2 linked regions of the Sus scrofa genome follow. The protein of the gene in region 1 purifies or fractionates together with the protein of each later gene. This does not show direct contact. Links are inferred from orthologs where the notes say so. Each region holds a gene or a part of one and is shown in the gene's direction. Other genes may lie near its edges.

Region 1 (3,740 bases):
CCCCTCTGCATCCTCTCCTCCACCCTCCTCCACCGTTTATTCTGCAAAAACTCCAGCACTTAGATCAGGCTGGGGGAGGGGAGCGGTGTCTGGAGAGGGCTCCCTAGCCCGGGCTCGCGACTGTTCTCTGCAGGGACTACCCAGGCCCAGACACCCCCGGGGTGCCTCGGGGTCGCAGAGCTGGCAAGCCGGGCCTCGTTTGTAGATTTGTGCAGGGGTGGCGGGTACTGTTCCGAACAAGCACCTGGTAGAAGGGAGGGGCGAGGCTCTCGAACCCTCCCCGGTCGGCCCGAGCTGACCTGCCCCGCCTGGGCTTTTTAACCCAGTCGGTTTGTTAAAGGCGTCGCGGCTGGAGTCATTCACGTGCTTTGTAACTGTAAGAACAGAAAAAATTGGACCAAAGCTCCCAGCTGCAGGGAGCAAAGAAGGGGCGGAGAGAGCTGCGATTATTTTCTAAGAGGACGAGAGAGGTTTGTTGCACGCGACAGTTCACTGGGGAGGCAGGGTCTGAGCCACAACGCGGTTCGGAGTTGGTTTGGTTTTGGTTTTTTTGTGTTTTTTTTAATATAAAAAAAAGCGTAGGGAAAAAACCTAAAAGTCTTTAAAAAAAAAAAAAAAAAGGATACATCAAACTGATTCTCCCTTTTTGTATGCCGGATGCTGCATGAGTCTGAAACACCAATAAACGGAGACTGCATGATACTCGCCTCCAGCCTCAGTTGGTCCTTACGTGCCTGCGCCGCGGGGCCGGAGGTACAGCCTCCTTTGGGGCACAACCTACTAGGTGATTTGCGCATGCGCCACCCCCGTGGCCATCTTTACTGTGGGCCGAAGCCTATCGTTCCCGAGCGCCTACCTGCGCATGTGCAAGCCTCCCCTTGCTTTCCTCTCCCAAGTAGCTTTGACTAAAGCGGAGCCTCCCGCGCCGTATCTGTGCGCCTGCGTACTTTGACCCTGCGCGGCCCGGGAGGCGGGTCTTAGCTCCAGGTGCGTACGGCCGCTGAGGTGGGGGACCTTCGAGGTGTGGGGAGAGGACGCCGCATCCAGGTGTAGAGCGGCGTAGTGCGGAGGCGAGAAGAGCGGGTCCGCCCGTCTCCGGCCCGGAAAGTGGTTTCTGCCGCTCGCTGGAAACCTCGGAGTACCGGATCTCGATCTGTGGGGGGCGGGGTCCTTGGAGGGGACTGAGCGCCCCCTCCTGGGAACCGGTGGTCTGGTCGCGAGACCGCTGTTGGAGCCTGATTGGTTAGCGAAACAGTCCCCGAACCCCGGGGTGATCCCTTTTTTTGGGAGGGAGTGGAGGGAGGGAGGGGGCGCGGGGGGAATCCCCGGCTTGGTACTCCTGCATCTCCTGGCATCGCTGGGCCCCTTCCCTAGTGGCTTATGTCCCTTGTCCGGGGTCATGGAGACACGGCAGCCACCGCGGCGGCGCCTCTGTCTGAAGAAGGGGAAGTGACCTCCGGCCTCCAGGCTCTGGCCGTGGAGGACACCGGAGGCCCCTCTGCTTCGGCCGATAAAGCCGAGGAAGAGGGGGAAGGAGGCCGGGAGGAGGCCGAACATGAGGGGTCCAGGGCCGAGGAAGTGCAGGGAGAAGCCCCCAGCACTGAGGGGGAAGAGCCCGCCCAGGGAGACTCCGAGGACTGGTGCGTGCCCTGCAGCGATGAAGAGGTGGAGCTGCCTGAGGATGGGCAGCCCTGGATGCCACCTCCCTCCGAAATCCAACGGCTCTATGAACTGCTGGCTGCCCACGGTACCCTGGAGCTTCAGGCAGAGATCCTGCCCCGCCGACCACCTACGCCTGAGGCCCAGAGTGAAGAGGAAAGATCTGATGAGGAACCCGAGGCCAAAGAGGAGGAAGAGGAAAAGTGAGGATTGCTTCCTTGATGCCAGGAGGAAATAGGGAGGGAGGTGGGACCCAGGAGCATGGGAAGTTAGAGGGAGGGGAAGAGCCCGAAGGCCCGGGAGAAGCACCAGTGGAGGTTTGGAAGGATCTCCCTCACCCTCCTCTCTCTCTCCACCTGTCCCAGGCCGCACATGCCCACAGAATTTGATTTTGATGATGAGCCAATGACACCAAAGGACTCCCTGATTGACCGGAGGCGCACCCCAGGTACAGACAAGAGTGGAGAATGGGGGGCGCGGGGGGGCCTCTGTTCCCACTTACTCCGAAAGGGACTCCCTGAAAGAGGTCTTTGAGGCGTTCTCTGATGGCTTAGTGGCAAAGGACCCAGCATTGTCACTGCTTTGGCACAGGTTCGAACCTTGGCCTGGGAACTTCCACATTCCATGGGTGTGGTCAAAAAAAAAAAAAAAAAAAAGGTCTCTGCTTGGTTCCTTGGTAGCTACACAAATCACAGCTTCAGGGGAGAGCGTGCACTCAGTGGTTGCCATCCTTCCAGTCTAGGTGGTACCCAATTTTCTTTTAAAAGATTATCACAGGTAATTCTATCATATTTCCCATTCCTTTGGTCTCATTTCCCCCCCACCCCCATCCCAGAAGTCCGAGTCTTCTTGGTCATTATCTAGCTCCACATCCCTATGCTACTGCGTACACCTCCTAATCTGACCTAGCTTCCCATGCCTAGAGTTTACCGTCAGAGCCATTCTCTCTCTCTCTCTTGTGTGTGTGTGTGTTTAGGGCTGCATCTGCGGCATATGGAGGTTCCCAGGCTAGGGGTCAAATCAGAGCTATAGCTGCTGGCCTACACCACAGCCACAGCAACATGAGATCTAAGCCACATCTGGGACCTACACCACGGCTCATGGCAACACCGGATCCTTAGCCCACTGAGTGGGGCCAGGGATCGAACCCGAATCCTCATGGATACTAGTCAGGTTCGTTAACCTCTGAGCCAAGACGGGAACTCCTCTCAGAGCCATTCTTGATTTCTCTTTCTTTCTTTTTTTTTTTTTTTTTTTGTCTTTTGTCTTTTTTTGTTGTTGTTGTTGTTGTTATTGTTGTTATTTCTTGGGCCGCTCCCGCGGCATATGGAGGGTCCCAGGCTAGGGGTCTAATGGGAGCTGTAGCCGCCAGCCTATGCCAGAGCCACAGCAACGCGGGATCCGAGCCGCGCCTGCAACCTACACCACAGCTCACGGCAACGCCGGATCGTTAACCCGCTGAGCAAGGGCAGGGATTGAACCCGCAACCTCATGGTTCCTAGTCGGATTTGTTAACCACTGCGCCACGACGGGAACTCCCGATTTCTCTTTCTTTTATGTCAACATTCAAACCAGCAGCAAGTCTTGTTAGGTCTGCCTCCACATTTCCAAATTCAGCTACTAGTCTCTGTCTTTAATGTGACACCCTGATCCAAGCCGTCTCTCTTTCAAAACATAAGTCAGCTCAAATCTGTTTTAAATTTTTTTAAATTATTATTATTTTATTTTTAGGGCCTCAAGTGTGGCAAATGGAGGTTTCCAGGCTAGCGGTCCAATTGGAGCTGCAGCCCCTGGCCTACACCACAGCAACACGTGATCCGGCCACATCTGCGACCTACACCACAGCTCACGGCAACACTGGATCCTTAACCCACTGAGCAAGGCCAGGGATCGAACCTGCAACCTCATGGTTCCTAGTAGGATTTGTTGCTGCTGTGCCACGACAGGAACTCCCAATTCTGTTTTAAATTCTCCGAAGGAGGAGTTCCTGCTTGGTGCAGTGGATTAAGAATCTGATTGCAGTGACTTGGTTCACTGGAGAGGGACGGGTTCAATCCTGGGCCTGGTGCTCTGGGTTAAAG
Region 2 (3,650 bases), on another chromosome or scaffold:
AAATCCAGCTAATTTTCCCCAGCTGCAGCAGCAGCAGCAACAGCAGCAGCAGCAGCAGCAGCTGCAGGCAAGACCCCCACAGCAACATCAGCAACAACAGCCACAGGGAATTCGACCCCAATTTACTGCCCCAACTCAGGTGCCTGTTCCTCCAGGCTGGAATCAGCTGCCTTCGGGAGCCCTTCAGCCTCCTCCAGCCCAGGGTTCTCTGGGCACAATGACTGGAAATCAAGGGTGGAAGAAGGCTCCCTTGCCTGGCCCAATGCAACAGCAACTCCAGGCAAGACCATCCTTAGCCACGGTACAGACACCTTCCCACCCTCCCCCTCCATATCCCTTTGGCAGCCAGCAAGCCTCACAAGCCCATACAAACTTTTCTCAGATGAGCAACCCAGGCCAGTTCACAGCTCCTCAGATGAAGAGCTTGCAGGGAGGACCCTCTCGGGTCCCAACCCCCCTGCAGCAGCCCCACCTCACCAACAAGTCTCCTGCCTCCTCGCCCTCCTCCTTCCAGCAGGGATCCCCTGCATCCTCCCCAACAGTTAACCAAACTCAGCAGCAGATGGGACCAAGGCCACCTCAAAATAACCCACTTCCCCAGGGATTTCAGCAGCCTGTCAGCTCTCCAGGTCGGAATCCTATGGTTCAACAGGGAAACGTGCCACCTAACTTCATGGTGATGCAGCAGCAAGCACCAAATCAGGGGCCACAGAGTTTACATCCAGGCCTAGGAGGTGAGGAACACTGAAGCTGTTTGTGTTGGTGAATTTACTGGAGATAGATCTTAGTAGAACTTCAATTTTTAGAGTTAATTGAGGGTAGTGTAATAAGGATGTAATTATTTGTTTCTGTGGATGCAGTGATGGCATTTGATTATATAACTTAGTTAACTTGATGCATGATGCAGCATCTTACTGGTTATGTTTAAGCTAGCCCTCTGGATAAAAACAGGTAAAATTCAATATAGAGATGTTCATTTTCTTTTTCAAAATATTTTTGCTTGATCTTGTAGTAGTAAGTTAAAACATCCAGAAGAAACATGAGTTTATTAACAACTTAAGCTGCTCAGCTGTTGAAAAAATTAAGATTATGTAATAGAGCAAAAATGAAAAGATAAGTATAGGGTTTGTTGGGGAAAAGGCCCGTCTAGCTTTCAATTTTGATAATCCTGGTTAGTAGATAGCGTGGTATTTGTTAAATTTGATTAAAGTATTAAAGGGGAATAAGTTCAGGAATCATTGACTTTTATAGTTTTATAATGCCAATGCCTGCTCCTTAGAGAGGGAATTCCACCAGTTATACCTAAAGGAGATTTATTTATTTATTTTGTAAGGTGCCTCTTGTATGAAGAAAAAGCAATGGAGCTTAATGTGTGAGAGGTAAAACGATTACAGTAAAACTTATCCATCTCCATGTTTATTATTTATTCTTATTAATCATTGATCTAGTGCACATGAATGTGCTTGGAGCTTTTCAGTAAGGTATAGAGAGTATCAGGAATACTATCATCTGATAAACATACCCCCACCAAAAGACACCCATTGCCTACCCAGAAAAAAATCCTTGCATCTTTAGTGCAACATAGCAAAGGCATGTTCCCATGATTTCTGGTAAAATTAAGTTGCTCATCAGTCTTTTCACTCTCTTGTAATTACTTTTACTGACATGCAGGCTATAATATTTGAATCCTAAGAAGTTTTTAGAAAATGCAAGAATATTTCAGCTCCAAACTTCACTGTTCTGGGCAACTAGCCTTGGATCAGTGGAAGCTGGGTAGTCTCTCCTGCAAATGTGATTACTGATTTAACTACAATGGAAGCATGTAAATGGGGACTTGTCACTGCTAAAGAAAGGACAAATGCATATTTGTCTACAGAGCGTTTTTCAGGACATTGAAAATTTGGCCCTTAAGTAAATGGACTAACACAAAAAAATTTTAAGTGAGCTTTAGGTCTTGATGCTTTCATAGAGCAAATGATATGCTCACCTAGGTGATCTGGCCACATCCAGGCCTGTTATAAACAGTGAGTGGATTCTGAGATTCTTATTACAATTTTGTTTTCTTAAATTAAACCTTCCTATGAAAGAAAGTATTACTTTAGTAAGATTCTGTTCAAGCAGTTTTTGGTACTATAGCTGTCAGAATTGCAGCAAACCATTTGAGGGGAAGGTGTAATGATAAATTTAACATATCGTCACTTTGACATTCCTTTGAATTATTTCTAATCTCTTGTCTCTTCCAAAGAGACAAGTACAATATTGGGGAGAAATTTTCCATAAAGAAAATTGTCATTCATTTCCCTCAATGGAGGGGAAAAGAAGTCATCTATCTATGCTTAATATCAGGACCCAGGTCTTTGTTTTATAGTATTTCTTGTCAGCTTATTTGACTATAAGAGAATTTAGCGTATTCCTTTGGTACCTGTGTTAAAGTATGTAAAGTTTTGGGGTCCATAGTATCACAGAGAAAAGTGAGCCCTAAACCTTGCTGTGACGTGGCCTCAGATCACATTTAGGGAGCAGATTGCCATCTTTTCCTTGGCATGTTCTAAGTGTAAATTTTTTAGTATTTCTTTTTCATTTTGACAATGCTCATGTAAGAGATTGTGTTGATTTTTTTAACCATCTTTCCCAACCTTATTATTAAAGATCCTACCAGTGTGACAGAGAGAGCTAAGCCAGTGGAGGCTTCATGCAGCTCATCCTTCCTTATTCATTCCACATCTAAGCAAGAGTATAAATTTGCTAGGTAACTGCCTTACTCGTTGTTTTCTATTAAGGAATGCCTAAACGCCTCCCACCTGGCTTCTCAGCAGGACAGGCCAATCCGAACTTTATGCAAGGTCAGGTGCCTTCGACCACAGCAACTACCCCTGGGAATTCAGGAGCCCCTCAGCTGCAAGCAAATCAAAATGTCCAGCATGCAGGTTTGTTTTTGTGATTTATTCAGCAAGCATTTATTGAGCATTGTGTGGACCACAAGGATATACAGAGAAATATAAGTCCTAGTTCTTCCTCTTAGTTTCGGACCTATAAATAATTATTCTTTCAGGGCAATAACTGACATATCAAAAGTAGGTAGAATGTCTCGAAAATCTAGAAACACCTGAAGAAAGGAGATGAAACGAGGTAAAGCTGGGGTTAGCAGGGTTTTTTGGGGGTTTTTTTGTTTGTTTGTTTTTCTTTTCCTGAAATGAACCAAATAGTAAATACTTTAGGCTTTGCAGGTTGTATGTTCTCTGTTGCAGTTACTTAACTTTGTTCTTGTAGCACCAAAGTAGCCATAGACAATACGTGAATGAATGAGCATGGCCGTGTTCCAAACACTGTTTATTTACAAGCTGGCAATGGCAATGGATTTGGCCCATGGCCATAGTTTGCTGACCCCTGAGTTAGTGAATGGACACTAAAGAAAGTGTTTCTGGAGTTCCCATCATGGCTCAGCAGAAACAAATGTGACTAGCATCCCTGAGGACGCAGGTTCGATCCTTGGCCTTGCTCAGTGGGTTAAGGATCTGGCATTTCTGTGAGCTGTGGTATAGGTCGCAGACGCGGCTCAGATCCCACATTGCTGTGACTGTGGTGTAGGCCAGCAGCTACGGTTCCCATTCAGTCCCTAACCTGGCAGCCTCCACATGCCAGGGGTGCAG

The links.
Region 2: the proteins of PAGR1 (region 1) and NCOA6 purify together in Homo sapiens (affinity purification with mass spectrometry; 3 studies listed by BioGRID and IntAct, with this or other methods). This does not show direct contact. The link is inferred for Sus scrofa from reciprocal best matches to the Homo sapiens genes PAGR1 and NCOA6.

The regions. Positions count from the first base shown.
Region 1 is NC_010445.4:18,051,775-18,055,514, forward strand, and holds the start of PAGR1 (PAXIP1-associated glutamate-rich protein 1), read left to right. Parts: upstream 1-904; 5' UTR 905-1,380; coding exon 1,381-1,862; intron 1,863-2,024; coding exon 2,025-2,107; intron 2,108-3,740. UniProt on the Homo sapiens protein: Its association with the histone methyltransferase MLL2/MLL3 complex is suggesting a role in epigenetic transcriptional activation. However, in association with PAXIP1/PTIP is proposed to function at least in part independently of the MLL2/MLL3 complex.
Region 2 is NC_010459.5:38,145,385-38,149,034, reverse strand, and holds part of NCOA6 (nuclear receptor coactivator 6), read left to right. Parts: coding exon 1-734; intron 735-2,780; coding exon 2,781-2,927; intron 2,928-3,650. UniProt on the Homo sapiens protein: Nuclear receptor coactivator that directly binds nuclear receptors and stimulates the transcriptional activities in a hormone-dependent fashion. Coactivates expression in an agonist- and AF2-dependent manner.